Linked DNA regions of Callithrix jacchus. The protein of the gene in region 5 interacts with the protein of the main gene of each other region in a pairwise test. Links are inferred from orthologs where the notes say so. Each region holds a gene or a part of one and is shown on either strand. Other genes may lie near its edges.

Region 1 (4,300 bases), on a different chromosome or scaffold from region 5:
AAAACGTATCGTTGTAATGAAGAGCTCGTTTTTGCAGCTTCAGTTCGTCTGGAGGCATCGAATAGCAAACGCTGCCAAAGGAGTAGTCCCTGGATTACCAGGAGTTGCAGAGTGTGTAAAGTGTTGTAAACCTGAAATTAGTCCTGGACTGCAGGCATTTTCCCTTCTCCCAGACTCGCTTCCCTATTACACATTTCCCCTTTCAAGGGAGTCTGTGGCACTCAGGTCCACTCAGCTCAGGCCTCAAGCACGCGGGACCAGGGGCTACCACCTTAACTGGTCACTCCTTGAGGGACAGCACCAGGCCCGGGTGCTGGCGCCGACATTGAGCGGCGCCCTCTCGGTTACCATGGCGACCGCGGGTGGGGCGGGGCCCCCACTCGCCGCTTCCCCGCCTCTGCCCAGGACCTTTCGAACGCTCCAATTGGGACAACGTTTTCTTGCCTCTGTCCCGCCCCGTTCGGCTCCGAGCGCTTTGCGATTGGCCCTGGACGAGCGGCCTGGTACCCAGAGGGCAACACCTCCTGACCGGAAGAGCGGGAAAGTGCACCAGGCGTTGTCCGAGGCGTGAAGCTCACGAGTGCGGCGGGGGGAGTACACAGTTGGCTTTGGAGCAAGTTGTCCTCTGTCCCATACACAAGCCCCGGCGCCCATGACTGCCAACAGCAGGGAGTAGGCGTCGGGGTCCCGGCACAGCGTTTCTAGGCCGGCCAGGTCCATCTCCGGGGGCGAGGACGCGACAAGGATGGAGCGAGAATCAGGCGGCGCACTTCGAAGCGCCGGGGCAACAGACAGGCCAGAGGGGACGGGCCGGGCCGCGGGGGCGGTGCCGGCGGCGGCGGCGGGAGGCGCAGGGCCCAATGAGCGCGCGCACCGCCCCGGGGGCGGGGCCTGAGGAGCGCTCCCCCGCCCTCGCCCGCCCCGCCCCTCCCCCCGGCGCGGGGCCGCAGTGAGTGAGTGGCACTGGCAGCCTGTCAATCCCTCAGCCCAGCGGCCTTCCAGCCTGGTCCGCGGCGGCTGCTGGCTGGGTGCGCGGCTCCGGCGGCGGCGGCGGCGGCGACTTCTCCCGCCCCTTCCATCCGCTGTCCACTCGACGCGTGGCCCGCTGCGGCCCTCCTCCGGGCGCCGCGCCCCCGCCGCCTCAGCCCGCCCGCTCCCAAACTTTCCTCCTCCGCCCCCCTCGCTCCCCGCGGCCCGCCCGCAGGCCTCCTTCGCCGCCGCCGCCCGCCGCCGCCGCTGCCTCCCCCGGGGCCGCCAGGGCTCGGATCCCGCCCGGCCGAGGCGGCGGCGGCGGGCAAGGAGGACAGTGCGCAGGCTGGCGCGGGGGGCGGCGGGCGTCCCGGCAACTCGGCCGGCGCTGAGGAGCAAGTTGCTCGGGGCCGCCCGGCGGGGCGCGCGGCGGCGAGGAGGCGGCGCGGCGGCCGCGTGAGGGCAGCGGACGCCGCTGCCTCCGCCTCCACCACAGCCGCGGAGCCGGGCGCTTCCGCCCGCCGCTTCTCCTCAGGTTCGGCGGCGGCGGAAGCCGGAGCCGGGCGCCGGTCCGCATCGCCTCAGCCGCGGGCCCTGCTGGCCGGGCCGCCTCCTCCCCACGCGGGCAGGGAGCGCGCGGCCGCCTCCCCCTCCCCCTCCCCCTCTTTCTTCTCCTCCCTCGCCGCCGCCGCCGCCGCCGCCGCCTCCTCAGCCTTCTCCTCAGCCGCCGCCCGCTCCCGCCCGCGCGCGGCGGGATGGACGATCAATCCAGGATGCTGCAGACTCTGGCCGGGGTGAACCTGGCCGGCCACTCGGTGCAGGGGGGCATGGCCCTGCCGCCTCCCCCGCACGGCCACGAAGGGGCGGACGGCGACGGCAGGAAGCAGGACATCGGCGACATCCTCCACCAGATCATGACCATCACCGACCAGAGCTTGGACGAGGCGCAAGCAAAGTTGGTGTCGTCTCATTAAGCATCTTTTGTGTGTGTGCTGGTGCCGGGCCCGCGGCCGAGTCGGGGCCGGGGGTGGCGCCCGGGGCCGGGGCCGCAGCCCCAGTCGAGGAACTTTCTCTGAAAGCCGGCCGCCCGCCCGGGCCTCGAGGGGGACTCGCCCGAGCCCCCTGAAGCGGGCGGGAGTCGGCAAAGTTGCTCTGGGGGGATCAGGACGGACTCGGTGCGGCACGGATTCAGTGGCGTCCTTTCCCCCGTCCTGCCCCTAGCAGCCCGGCCCCCTCCCACGGATTTAAACCTCCGCTCCGGATCCCCGTGCCGGCCGCGCCACCGGGAAGTGCAACTTTCTCTTCTGGCCGGGAGTCCCGGAGCCGACTCCCCGTGGCTGCGGGACGACCTCGCCATGCTTACGGGCCTCCCGGTCCCGGCGCGGGGCGATGGGCAATTCCCTGGCGGGTCCGGGTGCGGACGGCCAAGTTCTCGGGAAGGGAGGGCCGCCTTGCAAACTTTGCCGAGCTGTCACCCGCCCGCTGGCCGCAGTCGGCCAGCCGGCCGCGTCGCGCGCCCGCTCCCCCTGTACAGGAGCCGTCTCGGGAGCCCCCTCCCCACCAGTTCTCTCCCCTGGTTCACCTCTGCCAGACCCCGGGGCGATGCTCCCCGAGTGGGTTCGCGTCTGCGGTGGCTGACGCTGCTGCCTGTCGGGCAGATGTGTCCGCCTTGTTCTGGCTGCAGCTTTCGCCGCCGGGACTTGCTGGCTGTCGGGCACTAGTCAATTGGAGTTTTTGTTGACTTCCCAGGGTTCAAAAGGGCCTTCCAGAATGGGGGGCCGGAATTAATTCTTGGGTCTAACTTAAAGGAAGGCGCCATATTATTCCATAGGTGATGCTAATACCTTTGTGTTTTGTTATTTGTTTTTTAGGAAACATGCTCTGAACTGTCATAGAATGAAACCCGCGCTCTTCAGCGTCCTGTGTGAGATCAAAGAGAAAACAGGTAAGACGCTGTACCCCGCAGTGGGCCTGGAGACCCCCAAGGTGGGGGTCGGAGCTACTCCTTCGACTCTCCAGTTGAGAGCTGCTGCTTTTGGGCACCGCCATCTTTGATCATTCTCTCCTTCCCACGTCCTGATCTTGAGAAAAAACTGCAATAAATCTGGAGTCGATTTCTCAGTTCTGCTCCTAGTGTAAAATGAAGTGTAGGTATGGACCGGGCTGGGTCGCTGTCCCTAGGCAGCCACCCCAGGCTGCAGGCGGGGAGGGGGTCCGGAGCGCCAGCCGCCCTCTCTCCTTTCGCCTTGTTTGTGTGTCAGTTTTTAAAAGGAGCAACGGGAGACTGGATGCCAGGACCGAGTCCCCGGGAGAAGCATCGCCCGAACTTTGTTGTACTTAGACAATCTTAAGCTTCAGCTGCAGGGTTAGAAGAATAGATGCAATTGAACAGACCCCGGTAGCATGCTTGAATTAGTGTTTTAGGTGGGAAGACTATTTTAGAGAATTGAGGACCGGTAATGATGTGTAGATATATACAATGTATTACACCTGTTAATAGTTTTATTATTTTGTATCCTGAAGTCGTTACACTTGTAACTGTGCTTTTAATATATAAAGTCTATAAAGGTCTACAGATGGCAGGTTAAACAATTTTGAAGTGTCCAAATCAGGGAATATATAAGAAGATAGGTTTTGCAGAAGTGCTGGAATGGAAACTACAGGTACATATTAGGCAAATTTTTGGCAATTCGTTTCAATTTAACTTTCTTGTCAGACTTTTTTGATTGAAGGTCTTTTAGTCTTGAAGTGAAGTAACTGCTCAAATTGAAGTAGAGATTTAATTTGGATGTTTTAGTTTGTATTTGGCATTATCTTCCCTGTATGTGGCAAACAAGTACATTAAACAAGCTCTACTGTTGATTTTTTTCCTGTTCTTTTCTTTCTTCTTTCTTTTTTTTTTGTGTGTATGTTGTATATATGGTATTTTAAAGTTGCAGTTTTGAAAGTTGAGGCAAAGGAGAAAAAGTTGAAGTCCAGGATTTAGCAGTATCCAAGGGATGCTATTTAAAAGGTTAAATGTGATTGTGTTTAAATTGAGTGTACAAATAGCACAGTGCAAATAATTGTTAGGTTGATAGGCGAGTCGGCTTTCTTTGAAACAGATTTTTTGCTTTTCAGTACTATTTGGATCCTAAAAGTAATCAAGAAAAGATGATAAGTTATTGCTGTCTGTTAAACATACATGGTAAATCATAATAAACAGCAAATAGTAAGGGAGCCTAAACAGTACTTTTCCTGCTTTTCATTCACATATTATGGCTGGTTTCTTAATGCTCAGTGATCCTTTTTTGAATTACTAACTTTTATTTTGTGCTGATTTTTAGCTACC
Region 2 (3,500 bases), on a different chromosome or scaffold from region 5:
AGGCATAATCCTACACCAGCAAAAAAAATTAGAACTTGCTGAAGGCTCAGATGATTGTCAGCATTTTTTAGCAACAAAGTATGTTTTAATTAAGGCATATACATTGTTTTTCAGACATAATGCTATTCCACACTTAAGGTAGACTATGACATAGTGTTAATGTAGCTTTTATATGCAGTGAGATAGCAGGAAATATGTGTAACTTACTGTATTATGGTACTCACTTTATTGCGGTGGTCTGGAACTGAACCCACAATGTCTACAAGGTAAGGTTGCACTCTTGGGTTTCTGTAATAACCTAGTACCCTTACAGTCTTTCTTATTGTCCTTCACTGGACCATATGCATATTATCTTACCTTATTCCTCATTTTAGTCTCCAGTGCCTGGCATATATAAACCCTGAATATTTTTAAATATAATATTTTTAAAAAATCACTTTGGTTGTACTATGGCTTCAGTTGGTGGAAATTTTTTCTTTTTCTTTTTCTTTTTAGGTTTCAGTTTAATGTCTTGAATTCATTCCAGATATTAATTGGATTTGGATTTGTAAAAAATTTTCTGTAAAATGTTTTTATAATTTTGTTTATATTTTGAGTAAAAAATTCTTTCTTCTCCCCACCCCACACTGTAGTTAAAGCCTTCCATCTGAAATATGATGAAGTTCGTCTGGATCCGAATGTTCAGAAATGGGATGTAACAGTATTAGAACTTAGCTATCACAAACGTCATTTGGATAGACCAGTGTTCTTACGATTTTGGGAAACATTGGACAGGTAATTTTTATTCTAAAATGTGTTTATCTGTGGTTTATTGTAATTTTTCTGTCTCCTCAATTAAATTTTAAGTTCCATAAAGTTGTGAATCTTACTCCCTATTTTCCTTCTTTCAACATTAATTTGATGTTTATCTTCAGTAAATAATTAACAAAATTTTATTGTATAATTACTTTAGAAAGGGATGGAGAGTTAATAGCCTGATAGAGGGAACACTAAATTGAGTCAGAAGACTTAGACTTGAGTCTTGCTTTTGTAATCTCTAATGATCTGTGTGACCTTTTTGAACCTTATTATCTGTCCAAGAAACTTTGGATTAAGCGCCCTATGTTTTTGCAAGTACTGAAAGATCTCTGATTCTGGGTTCGTCTGTGTTACACATAGTTCATGAAAAGAAATGAAATTTTAAAATTTATTTTGATTACTAGTATAGTGTTGATAAAACCCTTTAGTAACAGTTTTGTAATTGGCAGATTTAAGAACAGCGTATGTTCACAGTGAGTACCACTGAATCCATTCTCTTTGAGGTGTGCTCCTTAAAATCTGTAACATCTTGGTGTAAGTCTCTCACAATAGATGTGAAAAATATATATCATTTTAGCTAGAAGCTTTTAGATTATATTACTTAAGAGGAGTGTTATTTCTAGCTTATTCCAGAAGTCCTTATATTTTCAGTTTTCTAGAAAACAACATTCTGTTGATTTAAGAAATGTCAACTTATTTTTACATGCGTTATTCTAAAAATTCCGAAATTTCTATAGTCATTATGACCTACCATCATACTTTTTTTTCAGGTACATGGTAAAGCATAAATCCCACTTGAGATTCTGAATTATTTGGCTCCTCTGTTTCTGGAAATTGAGACTCAAGCTTTATGAATTTATCAAGAACTTAAAGATGAAGAAGGTCACAGATTGATCTTTTATAAAACCTTACTCGATGCTTTGTGCTTCAAGGAGATGATGCCTGTCATCCATATAAGCAAACTTTTTGGCTTACAACTATTTTTTTAATACTAGCCTTCTAGTCTGTAATGGAAATTGTATATTTTGATAGAAGTTTTTTCTCCATTGGTTAAATTAGCATTACTTAAAAAATTTGTTTCTTTAGAAAATAAATGCAGGTTATAAATGTGTGTATATTTAGAGATTATAAGGCTCTCTGAGCCATCTTGCTTCTGATTTTTCATTGCTCTCTAATTCTTTTTACTGAAAATACTGTGTGATGAATGGTATTAAATTTTAGTCTCTGGAACATCCAAACCAAGCAGAGGGATGTGACCATTTTGAATGAATCAGAATGTCAACCTGTATGTACACTATATCTACACTTACTCTTTATTTAAAAAGAATAATGAAAAATCAAGAACAACTCTTCAATTTGATTGAACTGTTCAGCCTTTTCAAGATTTCTTTATTTACAAATGATAACATTTAATGAATGTACGTTCTTCTCACTGACTGGTGATTTTTGAAACTTAGAATGATGTGTTTCTATCTGTGATATCTTTCCGTTTGAAAAAAATTTCAAAACACAGATTAAAACCATAATAGGCTGTAGTATTTTTTATTTTGGGAGCCACAGTATGATTTGGGGAAGGAATATGTATCAGCCCTATTGCAGTATGTCTTTAAGCTCCTTTTCTCTTTAGTCCACCTTTGATTCTAATTTTTATGGTATAGGATTTTGAGTCTTCTGTTTTAGGTTTAGGCTTGTCAGTCTTGGAGTTCTTATCTTCCATTATCCCTCAATATTGATAAACTCCCAGACACCAAAGAACACATTTGCTTAATTGAAAAGAAACAAGAGAAAAACACTGGTATTTTTGTGTGTGTATTAAATATGGTATAAAATATAAAACCTATATTTTAACTTAGTAAAATATTTTACTATTTCTCTACTTTAGACAAAATGTTGCCTCCAAGGTACAACTGACCATTTTCCTTGAATCCTGATTTTGCTCTTTTTACTTAAAAGCAACTGGAAAGCTTTACTTTCCCAAATTGTTTTTGCCATCAGAATTTTTGCTGATCACAGTCTTAGGTCATTTTTTTCTTCCTTGTTATTCCCAGCAGTTCTTTCCTAGGTTAACATATTGTTGGCAAACATTTATCCCTTTCATAGGTGTTAAGCTGACATTATCTAGATTCTTTATGAAATTTAGCACTGTCACAAAAACGAGAAGAAATTATTTACTTTTAAGTAATCACAAAGTCCATACCACTAGTAACTAGAAAAGGTATTTATTTACACGGTATCTACAAGGCTGTTCAGAAGAGAACAGTTGGCATTTTAAATTACTGGATTTTAGCATACCTAGAAAGTTTGAATAGATTCTACCCGTTTTCCTCCCTTTTTAGTGTCTTCTTTCCTTAAAGATAAAACTCAGATTTTTTCCCATTGGGCTTTCTTAGCATATAGATCTGTTTCCGGAATAAATTACGTGTTGTGTAAACTTTCTTCATGATGAAATAGTCAAGGACCAGAATCTGTGATATATGTATGTAAGATTACTTGTCAAGACTACTACAAGTCAATATGAACTACCTTCCCGTAAAGATTTTTGGTATTTATACTTATTAATGAACTTTACTTGATACAGAATATGGTTAAAATTAGGAACATCTACTTTGAATGAGGTTTATTTTTCTATTTTGAATTTGCCTTATGTATATTCAAAGGCTTATGGAAAAACTATAGAGGAACTTTAGGAAAAGGACAAATAT
Region 3 (3,500 bases), on a different chromosome or scaffold from region 5:
CAGACAGCTTTATAATCAGGAGCACTACATTGTTTACCAGGTAAAGTAGCTTCAAAAACAGTTAGACAAAGTTGGGCTTTAAACTAGGACTAACAATTACTTAGTAAAAAACACTGAAATTGAGGTCAGTCAATGTCAAGTTCAACACCTCTGAAGTAGATAAAGGAAAAGTGGTAACTTACCTGAGGCAGCAGGGGAGGCTGCAACAGTATTGGGTGTTTGCTGTATCTCCCCACCATGTATCATGGGAAGGACCCCGCCTACCTCCAGGAGGACACCTGTACTGTTCAGGTGGCCAGAAGCCACAGCCATTTCATTCTCATTGACCTACCAGGGAAGAACAGAGGTGAAGGCTACACTCAAGTTTTCCTTTACTACCATTTCCCAACAAAGCTCCAGAAGTTGATCAAACTTTATGAAAACTAACAGTTAACATCCACAGAGAATAATTTAATACCCAAGGGAAACTCTAAACTATAATGTTCAAAACTTATTTGACAAGAGTTCTCTGGAGTAGAGAACCAAAATAATTTTGATTCAGAGACCTCAGGACCCAAGGGTACTATCAACTTACTATATTTTTCAAAAATTAACATATAATTAGGAGATATTTTCCTCTTTTGAACTTTTTTTCCCCATGTCACATTTTAGGTCCCAGGCACTCCCTTCCAAGTACTAAATCACCACAGCTCTCAAACACCCACAGAAGTCTCCATACCAGTCTGGGGCTAGTAGGCAGGAGGCTGCCCTTCTTCAAGAGCTCTGACAGCAGAGGGGAGGGGGGTGGAGTTGCTTTCTGTCCAAGCATCTTTTTCTGGGGTGAATCATCTGTTACTGGGGTCATGGGGGCTTCTAAGGGTGCAGAGCCTGGAGGAAGGGTGTCAGGAATCCCAGGAAACGAGGTGACTGGGGTACTCGGCAAAGTCCCGGGGGTTACCTAAGAGACAACAGAGAACCTTTATCTGACTTCTCAAACTATGGAAGGTTCCCTACTAATCTGTTTGGGTTAGTGTGTCTAACTATTATTTTATTAGTCCTGAGTCGAATTGCCCAGAAAGCCTCTATCCCTCCTGCTCTCAGCCATACTTTTCTTCCCCACAAGCTTCACTTCCATCCACTCAAACATCCCACCCAACTTGCCTTTTATGAACTCCTTACCCACTACCAGTATTACATTTACAAGGACTCAGTCCCTTATTTTAGCAGGAATTTCATAAGACTAGTATGAAACAATTCCTTAAAACAGTCTTTTACCTATCTCTCAAAAAGGTCAAAAGCCTCAGTGTTTTTAGGTCCATTTTTATCTCAGAGCACAGAACATGGTAAATTCTTTAGCATTCAGACCAAGAGAGGAAGTTGCCTTTAGACCAAAAGTGGTTTCCTCATCACTCAGCTCTGCCGGCTTATTGCCCCTTAGCTGATCAATTTCTACAGCTGGAAATATACTCACCCCAGAGGTAGCCTCTTCCATAGTGGTTGGAGTCAAGTCCCCAAGTGGATAATCACCTCCTGGGGAGGCAGAATCTATAGGAGAGCGAACCATCACAGTGGGTAACCTCCGGGGGGGTGTTTTTACTGCTTGACGAGCTAGAACGTAAAAGAAAACATGTCCAAATCTTTAAGATTAAATAAATGAAACTTGACACTATTCTGCTATTATACAATAAAGGACAAATAGGAATGTTGCATTACTAAAGCAGCATAATGAGTTTGGATTAGAAAGCTTTAACACTTCTGGAGATGGATAACTTTTTAGCCTAATTTTTCCTAAGGGCAATTCTCACACTAAATAAACTCCTTTAACAATCTCAAACTACTTAGTTATCCCAAAAGTCCTCGGAGTGGGAAAGTGGTTTATACCCTTTAATATTCTCTTCAGTGACTTATTAATACTCTGCTTTTAAGAACACGGAGGCCAGGTACGGTGGCTCACGCCTGTAACCCCAATACTTTGGGAGGCCAAGGCAGGCGGGTCACCTGAGGTCAGGTGTTTGAGACCAGCTTGGCCAAAAAATTAGGCGGGCGTGGTGACAGGTGCCTGTGATACCAGCTACTTGAGAGGCTGAGGCAGAAGAATTGCTTGAATATCATAGGAGGCAGAGATTGCAGTGAGCTGAGATCATGCCACTGCACTTCAGGCCTGCACAACAAGCTCTCGGGGGTGGGGGAACAAAAACAGGAAAAGACCTCACAGCATTTATTCCTAGAGTTGTAAATGCTTACATTTCTCCCCTTATCTAATGACTGAGCTATTCTCAATCTTTTCACAGGCCTTTGACTTCTAAAACATTAATTATGTTCAATATCTTCTTATCGAGCCTTGGTATCCTAAAGTTATTTATTAAGGTCTAGTGAGATCTGAGCAGAGTTCATGTTCTAGGAGCTTCTTCTGGGACATTAAGGGATGTTTTTATTCTAGCAGAAGAGAAAACTGTGCAAGTAAATTTAACCCAATGGATTCTATGTTACAAAACAATCCAACTGTCATTAGCTTGCAGTACTGTGCGATCAACTGCTAAACAGATATACTAGGATCAGCTTACCCTGATATGCAGCATCTGTAGCCTTCCTCTTTACTTCAGCCTCCTCTTCTTCCAATTTTTTTTTCCTAAACAAGGAATTAAGAGTTAGACACTAGACAGGCTCTGGCTCCTCCCCAGAGTTCACAGAACCCATAAAAAGAAATTTTTTTGCCTGGCCAGCGCTTTCTGGAAGAAAGGCCTAAACAGGAATTCTAACCAGCAAAACAGGGAACTGGGGTATACTGTCTAACTCCCACTTCTTCACTCAGGCAAACTAGAGCCACTTTTAAGTTATAACTAAGTTATGTTTTCATACTGAAATGTTCCATCATATTACCTTCTAGGACTCACTCCCCCCTCCCAGCCACCAAGCCGCTTTGCAGTTTTCTCCTTCCAGAATCTGTCTCAAGTCTAAAGGGATGGCAGTTGGAGGAAATAAGCCAGATTACTTGAGGGGAAAAGAGGGGAAAAAGAAACAAGCACAGAAGAACAATATAATATAACCCACATTGCAATGTCATTGCAAAGCTCATCCAGTCTGCTGTCCATGTGTCCAGCTTGAATTAGTTCTGCATCTCTTTTTAACCGTCTATAGGAAGAAAAGAGAGGTAGGTAGAATGGATTTTTAATCTATTCTAAAAATCTGACCAATACCAGACGTCAGCCTCTTATGTCTTTCTCAGTCTTTTGGCATTCTCTCTGATAAGTACCTATATCTCTCCTGGGTTTCCTTTATCACTTTCTTTAGTTCCTCAACTCGCTCAGCAGTCAGTTTCCGAACAATGACGTCTTCAACAGTTTCCACCACTTCTCCTTTTTCACCTCGTTTCCGTCTGTGGAAAATGAAAAAAAAAAAAAAAAAAATCCATATTTGAATAAGAGAACATTTATCCCCTCTCCCACTTGCTCTGAGCCTTCTTTATCAATTAATCATAGATAACTTCTGCTATGTTTTTAAATCACCCACTATTATAAATA
Region 4 (4,016 bases), on a different chromosome or scaffold from region 5:
TTTTTTCTTCACACTCTCTTTCCCTAAACCTCATTCCCTAAATTTCAACTATATTTTCTGGGTGAAATAATTTAAATCTGCATCTCTATAACCAATCTTTCTGAAGCATTAGTGCCCATAATGAAATTTCTTGCTGGGACCTTCTACCAAGACATGTCACCGGCTATTAAAACTCAATACATCTAAAATTAAGCTTCTACATCTCACCTTCAAACCATTCCTCTCTCTTCATGGCCTCCCTTTTCCAGACTAATGCCTGTCTTGCCTAACTTACATTTGAGATGCCTCAAAGTCACATTCTTTTTGAATTCCCACTGCCATCATCCTAATTATATATATATGGGGATTAAAGCCTGGTGTTTTAATCCAGTTAATTTACGGTTTAATGGATCCCTACAAACAGCTCATCTGCAGGCCTAATACGGCCTACATGTAATTGTTAGTCATTTTTACTTAGTATTTTTTAAACTGTGATAAAAACAAATACATAAAATTTACTATCTCAACCATTCCTAAGTGTGTATTTCACTAGAGTTAAGTATCCGTTAGTCATAATTAAAAGCACAGTTGCTAGCTCACAATAGTGAGCAGATGAGAACTGCTTGACCACCCCCTGGCTGCTGCAGGTGGAGGCTGCTAATCCCCTTCACTGCTAGGCCAGTAGCTGAGAACCTGGAAGTCAGCGAAATGGAAGACCATGTTAATTTTATAATTTTCTTCAAGTTTAATGCCATTAAAGTTTCATAAAATTAAAACCATGAAGGATCACTGAAAAAAGGTAAGAATGAATAAAACTCCATATAAACTTCAATCACATTCTACCTGTGTACAAGCATAGTCTTATTTTATTTTTTAAGATAGCGTCTAACTCTGTGGCCCAAGTTGGAGTGCAGTGGTGTGATCTCGGCTCACTGCAATCTCCCCGCCTCAGCCTCCGGAGTAACTGGGACCACAGGTGGCACCACCATGCCTGGCTAATTTGTTTGTAGAGGAGGTTTGGCCATGTTGCCTAGGCTGGGTCTATTCTCCTTTATAAAAATTCACATGGCTTGTCAAACTCAGAATATCCACTACACTCTGGGGGGGAAAAAACTAGAAAAATATAACATCTATAAACACCCAACACTTCCACTTGGCTCTAAATATGGTCTATAATTTGGTCCCACATTATTTTTCTGGTCTCACTTCCTATTAAGTTAGCTAAACCCAACTATGCGTAATTCTAGAATGGCCTGGATGTTGCTATCAGGTGACTTTACTCAATTCCACAGTACAATAGTTTCAGATCATGTTCTGAGGCCAGACCCTCTGGGTTCAAAGTCTGGCTTCACCATTCATTACTACTTGACACCGGGTAAGTTATTTAATCTGTGCCTCATTTGCCCATCTGCAAATGGGGATACAGTAATATCAGTTTGATAGGGTTGCTCTGGAAGTTAAATGAGTTAATTCACACAGTGCTTGGAACGCTGCCTCTACCACACTAACAAACAAAAACTATTATTTTTCCTGCAACCTGGAATGACATCCTTCAAGTGGGCTCAAATCCCATTTCCCTGATGACCTCATCAGAAATGACTTCCAGTCCCCCACAGCGCTCTGAGAGCGGTTTCCGACCGGAACGGATTTCGCCAAACTCCAAAGACGCGGGTTCCCCTCGGCATCACCAGGTGAGCGCTGCTGACCGCGCCATTGGGTCGTGCCAGGACGTGGACGCTGCCCAGGGCAGCAGGTCCACACTCCCCTAAACCAGGCGCCGGTGGGCGCTACTAACGCGTTGAGGCCCGCTCCCTCCTTAAAATGCGTGCACATCTACTTCATATTTTCGCGCGGTGGATGCGAAAAGTCTTTGTAAACTGGAAAAGGCTGTACAAATGTAGCGGGCAGTAGGTAAACCGGCCCTTCCCCTGGGATGCGATGCACGCCCGAGCGCCCCGGGTTACACTAGGTTGGAGGCTCAGAGAAGGAAAAGGGATTAAGGGCGAGGCTCCGCGTCTCGGGACAAGGTCCTTGGCCTCCTGTCATGCCTGGTGGCGCTAGGGACCCGTGATCGCCATCTCTGCGATCGTGCATGCGGATATCTGCACCGCAAGCCTCGGTGTCCGCCCGGATCAGGCCTACCCGTGCCGCCGCAGCCGCAGCCGCAGCCGCAGCCGCAGCCGTAGCTGCAAGAGCCGCAAGAGGGCTGACAATGTCCAGGCCTCTACCCGGACCCAGTCTTACCTCCGGCGGCAGAGTTACCAGCAGACGCAGCCGGAAGTAAAAGACGGGCTCAAGATGGCCGCCGGAGCCTCCCTCTCGGCCCTCCCCCACCAATATGATGCCCCGCCCCTCCGGTCCCGCTCACTCTGGCTTTTAACTCCGGTTCCCCAGTCCGGTTCCCATGGCCTCGCCCCTTTGCACATTGCGCTTCCCGGCAGCCTCCGCGTGGGCGTCCCCTCCGACTCTTGCTTTCACCGGCTTTTCCACTCCTGGTGGTTACTAGGACCAACGAGGGGGGCGTTTGAGGTTAATCCCTGTTACCTTGCCTGAGCGCAGTCCGCTGTGCGTGCTCAGACTCTTCCCAGCAAGAACCCGAAGCATTAATAAATTTGAGGTCTAGCTTCACTTAACTCGAGGAGAGGGTTTCTGTGTCACTTACGTAGAAACTAGGGCCCAATTTCAACTCCCCCCCACTCCTCTGTCCTAAGTCTATCCACGTCACCTACTTGGTAGCTGGAGTTAAACAAGAATCCTTTGAAATCTCCAGTCACCGACACGCAGTGGGATCACTATCAGTTTTCCTGTTTCCTTCCTTCCTTCCCTCAATAAAAATTAACTTGAACTAAGTAACATTTGCTGGTTGATAATTTACAGCAAATCTTTCCTTTTGGCCTCTCTGATTAAGTAAACTGTGAGTGTACTTTGCCTCTTGAGAAATTAAATCTGATTACAACAGAGCTACATATTTTTCACCAATGGTTAGACTGACATTGTAAATACACTATCTGATAGTTGGGGCTGGCCTCGTGGTCCTGCAACCTGTGCTCTTACCCCGGCCCCCAGAACAGAAGGACGCTACACTTTATCTCAATAAGTTTTGAACCCCGGGCCCCACATTTATGTCTAGCACTGGGCCCTGCAAATTGTGTAGTGATAGGAACTGATATAAGTATGGATGAGCTGCCACACAGAAGATTACCTGCCAGAATCTATTGTGTGGCTCAGGCTCCTTTTGCCATAGTGATCTTTGGACTAATTTAACCTGTGGACTGAACCTGTGAATCAATTGGAATTCAGACTAAAAATAATGTTTCATCAAAATAATGTTTTTATTTTGAGAAAGCATTAAATTGTTTTAAACTTTATTTTTACTAATAAAGAATTGAAAAGGGGATTTTCTTCAGTTTCAAAACTGAAACAGAATAAATGAATACCTGTTTGCAAGTTCTTTAGAACTGATGTTTGAACAAAGATAAATAATTAAATGATAAATTCGCCTCACTGCTTCGAGGTGGACTAGCCAAAGAACTCTAAGTGTGAAGTTCTTTTACTAAAGGGTTCTTGTGTTAATACAATATGAGAATAATTAGAACTAAAATCTCTTTTACACAGCATAAATAAAATGTTAATTGATCCACAAAAGTTGATTTCTTTAAAATATTAAGAATGTGTATATAATTATAATTATTTGGACATGGAAGCAAAGTAAGCTGAAATCAGAAATTAAGATTGACATTTTAGATAATGAAACTATCAATAAAAATGGATCAATATTAAGTACCCAAAGAAATAGTCCAAAAATTATATGTGAATGTGTGACTGAGAAGATTTAGGACTCTTGGGTTGAACTAAAATAAATTGGAATATAATCTTAAGGAGGTAATAAAGGGATGCAACAAAACTGAGAAAACGTCAAATATACTTAAAGCCTATAAGAAAAGAGATTGTATTAGTCAGTTCCAGCTTAACAGAAATGTAATCCTCACCATTCTAAAAGTCTAGGAAGTCCAAGATCAGGGTGCTGGTGAATTCTG
Region 5 (3,878 bases):
ATAATTAAGATTTTGAAATGTAGCTGAACTCTTCTCTTCACCTCCCCTTCCTTAATGAACAAAAAAAAATCATTCAGGTTAATAACAGCAGTAAGCCAAGATTGTCCCACTGCACACCAGCCTGGCTCTCCTTAGTAAACTGTGGGCGTGGATTTAGAAGGCATATTTTCTCCTAAACCCTTCTATGAACTTGTACTTCCCCCTCCCCTTAGGTTCGCTAGGTGTACCACTCAATAACTCCTTCTCAAACTACCTCGTTCAAGCAGCACTCCTGCAGTTATTCCAAACTGATGACTAAAGTTCACTTTCACTTTCCCTCAGCCAAGTCTTTATCACTTAAACAAAACAAAACACCTTATCTCTTAACAGCCATTTCTTCCGTTAAACCATTTTATCCCGTTTGTGACATTCCCTCATATACAGACTTGGAACGCTTACATTTAGTCCGTGTTATTCTTTCCTACGTGGATGGGTTGTTTACAGTTTTGCTTGCAATATTTCTGGCATTTCCCGTTACAACACCCTGTTCTGCCAGCATCTCCAGGACAAAGGTTGGGAGCCTAGCCCAGCTCCGAGCTGCAAGTACACTAGGCTCTAACTTTGTCCGTCCTCTCTGCAGGCCCTCCCGGAGCTCCCGCCCGTTTCGCACAGCGGTCCCGCGAAGGTGAGAGCACCGCGGAGCCCGCGGCCTTCTCCACCCTCCGGCTCCTCCTCGTCAGCTGGCAGCCCGGGCTCTGGGCGCCCGGGGAGCTTCCCACAAGGTCCCAAGCCTAGGCAGCGCAGACTGGGCCCGACCTCACTTACCTGGCGCAGCCGCGCGTCCGCTTCGGTCCACCGCGCGCGCAGGGCCCGTTCCCGGAACTCGCGCAGGCTCTCGCAGTCTGCCGCGCCGCCCTCAGCCGGGAAGAGCGCGTCGCGCACGGTGGCGCCACCGCAGCCGTCTGCCGCCTCGCCCAGGTAGCGCTCCAGCCGTCCACACAACTCCCGCAGCGCCGCCTCTCCGGGCCCCGCGCGCGCCGGCCACAGCAGCGCCCACAACCCAAGACCCAGGCCCCAGGCCCCGCCGCCGCCACCTACGTCCAGCTCCGGTGGCAGCCGCGGGAAGCAGCGCTCTAGAGGCGGCCATAGCGCCGCCAGTTGCCGGTGCGCGCCGCGGAACCCCGCGGCCGAAAGTAGGCCGGCCCAGCTTGGGGGGGACATGGCGGCCTCGGGCTCGGGCTCGGGCTCGGGCTCGGGCTGGGCCCCCTCGCGTCGCCACCGCCGCTGCGCGGTGCGGTCGTGACAAGTCACAGCGAACTTGCCCTCCGCGCCGTTCCAGGCCACCAGGAAGCGCAACCGGTGCCGCTCGGGCTCGGCGAAGAGGCCCTCTCGGACCGGCACCCAGCCCTCCAGGCTGTCAGGCTGCTCGTCCTCCATGACAGTCGGCGGCAGCGGCTCTAGGGCTCAGCGGGCGCGGGACTGTCCTCCTCGCACCCCCTGTCACGAGACAGTCCGAGCTGAGGCATTTTTCGCTGGAATCGAAACCGCGTCAGTGTCCCGGCAGCGACCCGGTCCTCGGCACTTCTGATTGGCTGGCAGCCGGAGGCGGGGCTTAAGTGAGGCGTCCGTCGGGAATGGTTAGGTGATAGAAGGGAGGGTCAGCTACAACCAATGAAAAGGTGAGGTGGTCTCCCTCGGACGTCAATCATTTCGCAACCTGGTCGGGAGTCTGGGAAATACAACGCTTGCCTCACCTTTTCCACCCAATACATGCGGACTTTGGAAAAATATCTTTAAATGGGCGAGTTATTATCTTAGCCTCCCACACTAACCTATGAACTTCTACGAATAGGGACCAAGCCGATTTCCTCTTCTGTCATCAGGGCCCTATTGAGTACATGGTTCCCGCCCTCAAGACTGTCACAAATGTGCTGGGAAGATGAAATAAACTTGATAGTCATTTATTGAGGGCTTCTAAGTGCCAAGTACTGGACAGAAGCCACAAATTTACTTTTATTGAGTGTCGGCTGTGTGCCAGTATTGAGACGATGGAGTAAGAGGGAGAATTCAGGGCACCACAGCTTCCAGCCAGGGTGTTTAAATACAATCTTCATTCCAACTCTTCACTTTATACCAAGTACCAGCTCGGCCATAGAGACCCCCATCCAGGCGGCGCTGAAGGAACTGAGAGGCAGACACCCAGATAGAACAGCAAAGTGGGCTTATGGGGGTGAGAGGCGGGGAGGGCAGTGGCCAATAGGCTTCTGAACTGAGAGCCTCAGGGGCCGGACAGCATTCCGGACTGAAGGCCCCAAGTAGACTCTGACCCATGCATTTATTCTCCCTGAACAGGTGATCACTATTAACAAACAGGTGTTATGTGTTTTCTCATAACACAAAACACGCCAAGTAGACATCTGGTGCCCGCTTACAACTGATCACAACCTAAAAAGTATTCTCCGTGAGGGAGCCACGGGGGCAGGTTCTTAAAGAACTGTAACCGGTTTGTGATATTTATACATTGTCCTGCCACTTTGGAATGCCCCAAGTAGTTTTCTACTTGGCGGGGGGGGGGGGGGGGGTGGGGCTGTGTGCTGGTTTTCCTTGCCATCGTTCTTCCTAGCAAACGATATATTCTGTCATACACTCGGCATTCATCAATATTCATAAACTTAACATTTCTCAACATCAATATTCATAAACTTAACATTTCTCAACAACTTTAGAGTTAAGGAAACAGAGGCCCAGACTAACTTAAGATACACCAAAACTCAGGCTCAACATGACTACCTGGCTACTGAAGGCCTGTTTAAGGAGATATCAGGAAATCCAGTTTCCATGTCAGGGTGGAGTTGGATCTGTTCATACAATAAGGACCAAGACCGCCCTCGTCTCTGCCTGGGAAATGTACAGTGTCAACTGAGAATTATATTTTGTGCTTTCTGTTATCCCCAAGGGCAAACAACAAGCAGGAGAATCTCTGGAGCCTAGGAGGCGGAGTCTGCAGTGAGCCGAGATTGTGCCACTGCACTGCAGCCTGGGCAGCAGAGTAAGACTCTGTTTCAAACAAACAAACAAAAAGTCTGTTTTAAATATCTTTCTTGTATACTCCTCACATTGTATCATTTTACTATCTCTTTTATACTTTGTAACCACTTCTACTAGTTTTCTAATCTATTTGTTTTTTCAAGAGGAAACTAATCTTTCTAATTATGAAAGTGTAGTGAGTGGCCCGGTGCAGTGGCTCACACCTGTAATCCCAGCACTGTTGGAAGCTGAGGTGGGAAGATCACTTGAGGTCAGGAGTTCGAGACCAGCCTGGCCAATATGCCCAAACTCTGTCTCTACTAAAAACACACGCACACACACACACACACAAATTATCCAGGCATGCTGCATGCCCTATACTTCCAACTACTAAGGAGGATGAGGCACAAGAATTGCTTGAACCCAGGAGGCATAGGTTACAGTGACCGAGATTGTGCCACAGCACTCCAGCCTGAGTGAAACAGTGAGACTCAGTCTCAAAAAAAGAAAAAAGTCTCCTCTGTATATATATTAATATATGTCTTAGCCCATTCAGGCTGCTAGGACGGAATACCATAGACTGGGTGGCTTATGAACAACAGACATTTATTTCTGATAGTTCTGGAGGCTGGAAAATCCAAGATTAAAGCACCAGCAGATTCGGTGTCTGGAAAGGAAGGGCCTGTTTCTTGGTTCACAGATACTTGTATTTTTTTTTTTTTTTTTTTTTTTTTTTTTTTTTTTGAGTTGGAGTTTCATTCTTGTTGCCCAGGCTGGAGTACAATGGCGCAATCTCAGCTCAACTCCGCCTCCCAGAAGCAATTCTCCTGCCTCAGCCTTCCAAGTAGCTGGATTACAGGCGTGCACCACCA
Region 6 (4,284 bases), on a different chromosome or scaffold from region 5:
CTGGTCTTGAACTGCTGACCTTGTGATCCGCCTGCCTTAGTCTCCCAAAGTGCTGGAATTACAGGCATGAGCCACCACGCCCAGTCTCTCTCCCCCTGAATTCTAAATCTTTAACATCCAGGCCCTGGCTGCTTCAGGCCAGAGGCTCAAATCCATGGACTAAAGGAGTTGCCCCTTCCACTACTTGCTACTTTATTCTCTGGGTCCAGCTCCATACTCTAAATTCTGAGTTTCAGCCACTGAACTCCAAGAGTCCACATCTCACCAGCAAGGAAGAGCAGGGTATGGAATTCATCTGTCTCCTCACTGTTTAGGGCATGGCATGCTCCCCTTCAACAGTCTCCTAGAAGGAAAGGATCTGCCCTGACCATTCCGCTGGCGGGCACCATTGCTTCTCTCTGTGCCTCTGGGATCCCCCTCCCACTTCGCCACCTCTGGCTTCCACTCCGAGAAGCTGGACCAGGGTCTGCAAGTTCAAAGGCAGTGGCTGTCCCTCCAGGCCCCACACCTTGCCTCAGCACTCCCGGCCCTAGTGTCTGCACCTCCTTAGGCCCTGCCTCTGAACCTAGTCAAGAGGATTCTCCCGTTCTTAACTTGGGGCTTCCTGTTCTGGATGCTCTGCAGGAAAATAAAAGCCTGATTTTTCTACGTACTGCATGTAGTCTGTCAGTGTCTCCCAAGCTGCAGGGCTGAGTTTGGGAAGGAAAGCCAGAGGGAGCCTGCGAGCCCGCGAAGTGGAGTCTGGGCAGCCACCACGCCCTCTGGCAACCGCTGGCCTTCGACCACCGCGCCCCCGCTGACCCGCCCCCACTTTGCCAGAGAGGCCGGGTCCCCATTCCTTCAAATCCCCTTCCCCCACTCCCCAACCCCGCAGCTGACCAAGAGACTCATGGGAGGCAGGTTGAAGCTAGAAAGAGTGGGGACAGCAGCTCTGGTAGGAGAACGAGCTTCCAAAACTGCTGGCTTCTGAGCGCCTCTCCTGCCGCCCCCTCCTCAAGGCCTCCTGGTGGCTGCCCTCGACCCGGCAAAAACAAAGACTGGCCGGAGAAGGCAAAATCGCGGGGAGGGCTGAGAGGCAGGAGATGGGAAGGGCGGGCCCGGCTCCTAGCAGCTGCCGCTTCCTCCCAAAGTCCCACGAGGGGCCTGAGTCACGGGCCACCGCCCTGGGTCGGCGAGCTGGGGGAAGGGATCTGGACACCTGGGTTCTTCAGGGCTACCGGGAGGGAAGCGGTTGAGGGCCCCTGGGGACACAGAGCAGAGGACCAGGGGTTGGGGCGAGTAGGGGGCAGTCCCAGAGCCAGTCCCACGCGCGGTGGGAGGGAGCCCCGCCCTCCCCTCGGGCTCCGCCCTGCGCCCCCTTCCCTCTCCTCATTGTCCTTAGACAAAGCGGTCGCCGCCCCCGCCCGGCCCCCTGATCTCTGTCTCCGTCCCTCCTCCTTTGCTGCCTCTTTCCCTCCTCCTCTCCCTCCTCCTCCCCTCCCTCCAGTCTCCGGATCTCCCTCGGTCCCTCTCTCCTCCTCTTCCTCTCTCTGGACGCCCGGCTCCTCCGCACCCCCTCCCAGGGGGGCCCCACGGCGTGTGAGTTGACTGAGGGGCTTAGACTTGGGGAGGGGGTGTCTCCTCGCTCCCGTCCCTGGCCCGGACCTTGGCTGTCTCCTCTTTGTGCCGAGATTGTCAGTCTGTGCAGCCAGAGCGGGGTGGAGACAGCTGGCTCTGTCACGGCTCCATGAGAGCGGGGACCGGGCATGGGACTCGCAGGCGCTGGAGAGAAGAGGCATGGAGCCGGCCCTCGGCACTCCGGGGTCGCCGGGCGCAGACGGCGGGGGAGGCAGGCGGTATTGACGGGACTGGGTGGGGGTGGATACCAGGGTTCTGGGAACGCGCTGGCAGCCCCGACGCCCGGGTTCCGAAAGTCCCGGGGTGGGTATTTCCCCCGACCCGCCTCGGGGGCGGAGTGCGGGGCAGAGGGGTGGGGGCTGGGGAGAGGCGTGGCCCCAGCGGCACTGGAAGCGGAGCAGGGACCTTTGGGGCCCGCGCTGAGACGCTCCCGGCCGCTACCGCCGCGCTCCCTTCCCCTCTTCCCTGGTTTCCCTTCTCCCCTAGACCTGCTCGCTCTCCGCTCCTCCCTGCCTCCTCGACACCCCCTCAGGTCCCGTTGCCCTCCTCGGGAGGGATTCCCGGTCCTTCCTTCCCACACTCACCTCCCTGGGGTATCGCTGAGGCAGCCAGGCCTGCACCCGGGTTCCCCTCATCCCTGCCCCTTTTCTCTTTTCACCCTCATAGCAACTTTTCTTTTCTCCCATTCTCTGTTTCCCACATCCTAGAGACTGTCTTTAATACGCATTAACCCTGTACTGCCACATCTGGCTCCTGTCCTCATTGCCTCCAATCTGGACTCTTCCTCTCACATCGCCCCCACCACCCCCAACTTGGGCTCATAACTTCTCTTCACTTTTTCCATTTCCCCTGTTCTCTGCCGTCCCTCTTTCCCTTGGTCCTCATCCTCAGCTCCTCTGCCCTGCTCGTGGTCCCACCTCTCCCCCTCCACTTCCTCCCCTCCCACCCTCAGTCTCACTCCCTGGGCCTCTCTGGAGCCTCTTCTTCCTGTTCTCTGCCCCCAGTGCTCCCTACCCTCACCTCAAGGCGACCATGACCACCATCCCAGACTGGAAGCTACAGCTGTTAGCCCGGCGCCGGCAGGAGGAGGCGTCCGTTAGAGGCCGGGAGAAGGCAGAACGGGAGCGCCTATCCCAGATGCCAGCCTGGAAGCGAGGGCTTCTGGAGCGCCGCCGGGCCAAGCTTGGGCTGTCCCCTGGGGAGCCTAGCCCTGTGCCAGGGACTGCAGAAGCCGGACCTGCAGACACAGATGAATCTGCGGTCCTTCAGGAGGCCATCGGGCCAGTGCACCAGAACCGATTCATCCGGCAGGAGCGGCAGCAGCAGCAGCAACGGAGTGAAGAGCTGCTAGCTGAGAGAAAGCCTGGATCTCTGGAGGCCCGGGAGCGGAGACCCAGCCCTGGGGAGATGCGGGATCAGAGCCCCAAGAGAAGAGAGTCAAGAGAAGAGAGACTAAGTCCCAGGGAGACCAGAGAGAGGAGGCTGGGGATAGGGGGAGCCCAAGAGTCGAGCCTGAGGCCTCTGGAGGCTCGGGACTGGAGGCAAAGCCCAGGAGAGGCGGGAGACAAGAGCTCCCGACTGTCAGAGGCACGGAAATGGAGGCTGAGTCCTGTAGAAACTCCAGAGCGGAGTCTGAGACTAGCAGAGTCTCGAGAGCAAAGCCCCAGAAGAAAAGAGGTGGAAAGTAGACTGAGCCCAGGGGAATCTGCCTACCCGAAGTTGGGCCTGACAGAGGCCCATAAATGGAGACCTGACTCCAGAGAGTCTCAGGAACAGAGTTTGGTACAACCAGAGGCAACAGAGTGGAGGCTGAGGTCAGGAGAAGAAAGAAAAGGCTACTCAGAAGAATGTAGGAGAAAAGAAGGGAGGCCAGTTCCAGGGGTGGCCCCAGAAGAGACTACAGAGCTGTCAGAGACCCTGACAAAGGAGGCCCAAGGCAGCAGTTCTGCAGGAGTGGAGGCTGCAGAACAGAGGCCTATGGGAGACAGTGAGAGGGGCATGAAGCCAACAGAAGGGTGGAAATGGACCCTGAACTCTGGGAACGCTCGAGAATGGACACCCAACGACAACGAGGCTCAAACTCAGAAACCAGAACCTCCAGAGTCAGTGGAAAAGCGTCTGGAGCCTCCCGGTGTGGAAGCTGGAGAAGGGGAGGCTGAGAAGGAGGAGGCGGGAGCTCAGGGCAGGCCTCTGAGAGCCCTGCAGAACTGCTGCTCTGTGCCCTCCCCCCTCCCACCAGAGGACGCTGGGACTGGAGGCCTGAGACAGCAGGAAGAAGAAGCAGTGGAACTCCAGCCCCCACCACCAGCCCCTCTATCTCCCCCACCCCCAGCCCCAGCTGCCCCCCAACCTCCTGGGGATCCCCTCATGAGCCGCCTGTTCTATGGGGTGAAAGCAGGGCCAGGGGTGGGGGCCCCCCGCCGCAGTGGACACACCTTCACCGTCAACCCCCGGCGGTCTGTGCTCCCTACGACTCCCCCAGCCACCCCAGCCTCTCCAGCCACAGCTGATGCTGCAGCCCTGGGGGCTGGGAAGAAGCGGTACCCAACTGCCGAGGAGATCTTGGTTCTGGGGGGCTACCTCCGTCTCAGCCGCAGCTGCCTTGCCAAGGGGTCCCCCGAAAGACACCACAAACAGGTAGGGGAACAGCCGAGCCAGACTTCTTAG

Evidence for each region.
Region 1: the proteins of FSD2 (region 5) and PBX3 interact in a two-hybrid assay, tested with the Homo sapiens proteins (3 studies listed by BioGRID and IntAct). The two-hybrid records come from large-scale screens. The link is inferred for Callithrix jacchus from reciprocal best matches to the Homo sapiens genes FSD2 and PBX3.
Region 2: the proteins of FSD2 (region 5) and CDC73 interact in binary tests that used the Homo sapiens proteins (3 or more experiments, as listed by UniProt). The two-hybrid records come from large-scale screens. The link is inferred for Callithrix jacchus from reciprocal best matches to the Homo sapiens genes FSD2 and CDC73.
Region 3: the proteins of FSD2 (region 5) and BRD8 interact in binary tests that used the Homo sapiens proteins (3 or more experiments, as listed by UniProt). The two-hybrid records come from large-scale screens. The link is inferred for Callithrix jacchus from reciprocal best matches to the Homo sapiens genes FSD2 and BRD8.
Region 4: the proteins of FSD2 (region 5) and ESD interact in binary tests that used the Homo sapiens proteins (3 or more experiments, as listed by UniProt). The two-hybrid records come from large-scale screens. The link is inferred for Callithrix jacchus from reciprocal best matches to the Homo sapiens genes FSD2 and ESD.
Region 6: the proteins of FSD2 (region 5) and PPP1R18 interact in binary tests that used the Homo sapiens proteins (3 or more experiments, as listed by UniProt). The two-hybrid records come from large-scale screens. The link is inferred for Callithrix jacchus from reciprocal best matches to the Homo sapiens genes FSD2 and PPP1R18.

The regions. Positions count from the first base shown.
Region 1 is NC_133502.1:174,328,328-174,332,627, forward strand, and holds the start of PBX3 (pre-B-cell leukemia transcription factor 3), read left to right. Parts: upstream 1-1,500; 5' UTR 1,501-1,724; coding exon 1,725-1,924; intron 1,925-2,840; coding exon 2,841-2,914; intron 2,915-4,300. UniProt on the Homo sapiens protein: Transcriptional activator that binds the sequence 5'-ATCAATCAA-3'.
Region 2 is NC_133519.1:50,418,129-50,421,628, forward strand, and holds part of CDC73 (parafibromin), read left to right. Parts: intron 1-632; coding exon 633-774; intron 775-1,568; coding exon 1,569-1,605; 3' UTR 1,606-3,500.
Region 3 is NC_133503.1:36,576,837-36,580,336, forward strand, and holds part of BRD8 (bromodomain-containing protein 8), read right to left. Parts: intron 3,356-3,500; coding exon 3,233-3,355; intron 3,112-3,232; coding exon 3,031-3,111; intron 2,609-3,030; coding exon 2,544-2,608; intron 1,588-2,543; coding exon 1,451-1,587; intron 938-1,450; coding exon 719-937; intron 328-718; coding exon 183-327; intron 1-182. UniProt on the Homo sapiens protein: May act as a coactivator during transcriptional activation by hormone-activated nuclear receptors (NR). Isoform 2 stimulates transcriptional activation by AR/DHTR, ESR1/NR3A1, RXRA/NR2B1 and THRB/ERBA2.
Region 4 is NC_133502.1:69,264,981-69,268,996, reverse strand, and holds the start of ESD (S-formylglutathione hydrolase), read right to left. Parts: upstream 2,801-4,016; 5' UTR 2,524-2,800; intron 2,428-2,523; exon of another isoform or gene 2,348-2,427; intron 2,250-2,347; exon of another isoform or gene 2,224-2,249; intron 1,671-2,223; coding exon of another isoform or gene 1,560-1,670; exon of another isoform or gene 1,537-1,559; intron 1,355-1,536; exon of another isoform or gene 1,284-1,354; intron 1-1,283. Other genes in the region: uncharacterized protein LOC144581368, read left to right, coding at 1,560-1,670.
Region 5 is NC_133507.1:24,078,676-24,082,553, reverse strand, and holds the start of FSD2 (fibronectin type III and SPRY domain-containing protein 2), read left to right. Parts: upstream 1-1,416; 5' UTR 1,417-1,658; intron 1,659-3,878. Other genes in the region: WHAMM (WASP homolog-associated protein with actin, membranes and microtubules), read right to left, coding at 805-1,416.
Region 6 is NC_133505.1:35,482,941-35,487,224, reverse strand, and holds the start of PPP1R18 (phostensin), read left to right. Parts: upstream 1-1,484; 5' UTR 1,485-1,776; coding exon 1,777-1,835; intron 1,836-2,621; coding exon 2,622-4,254; intron 4,255-4,284.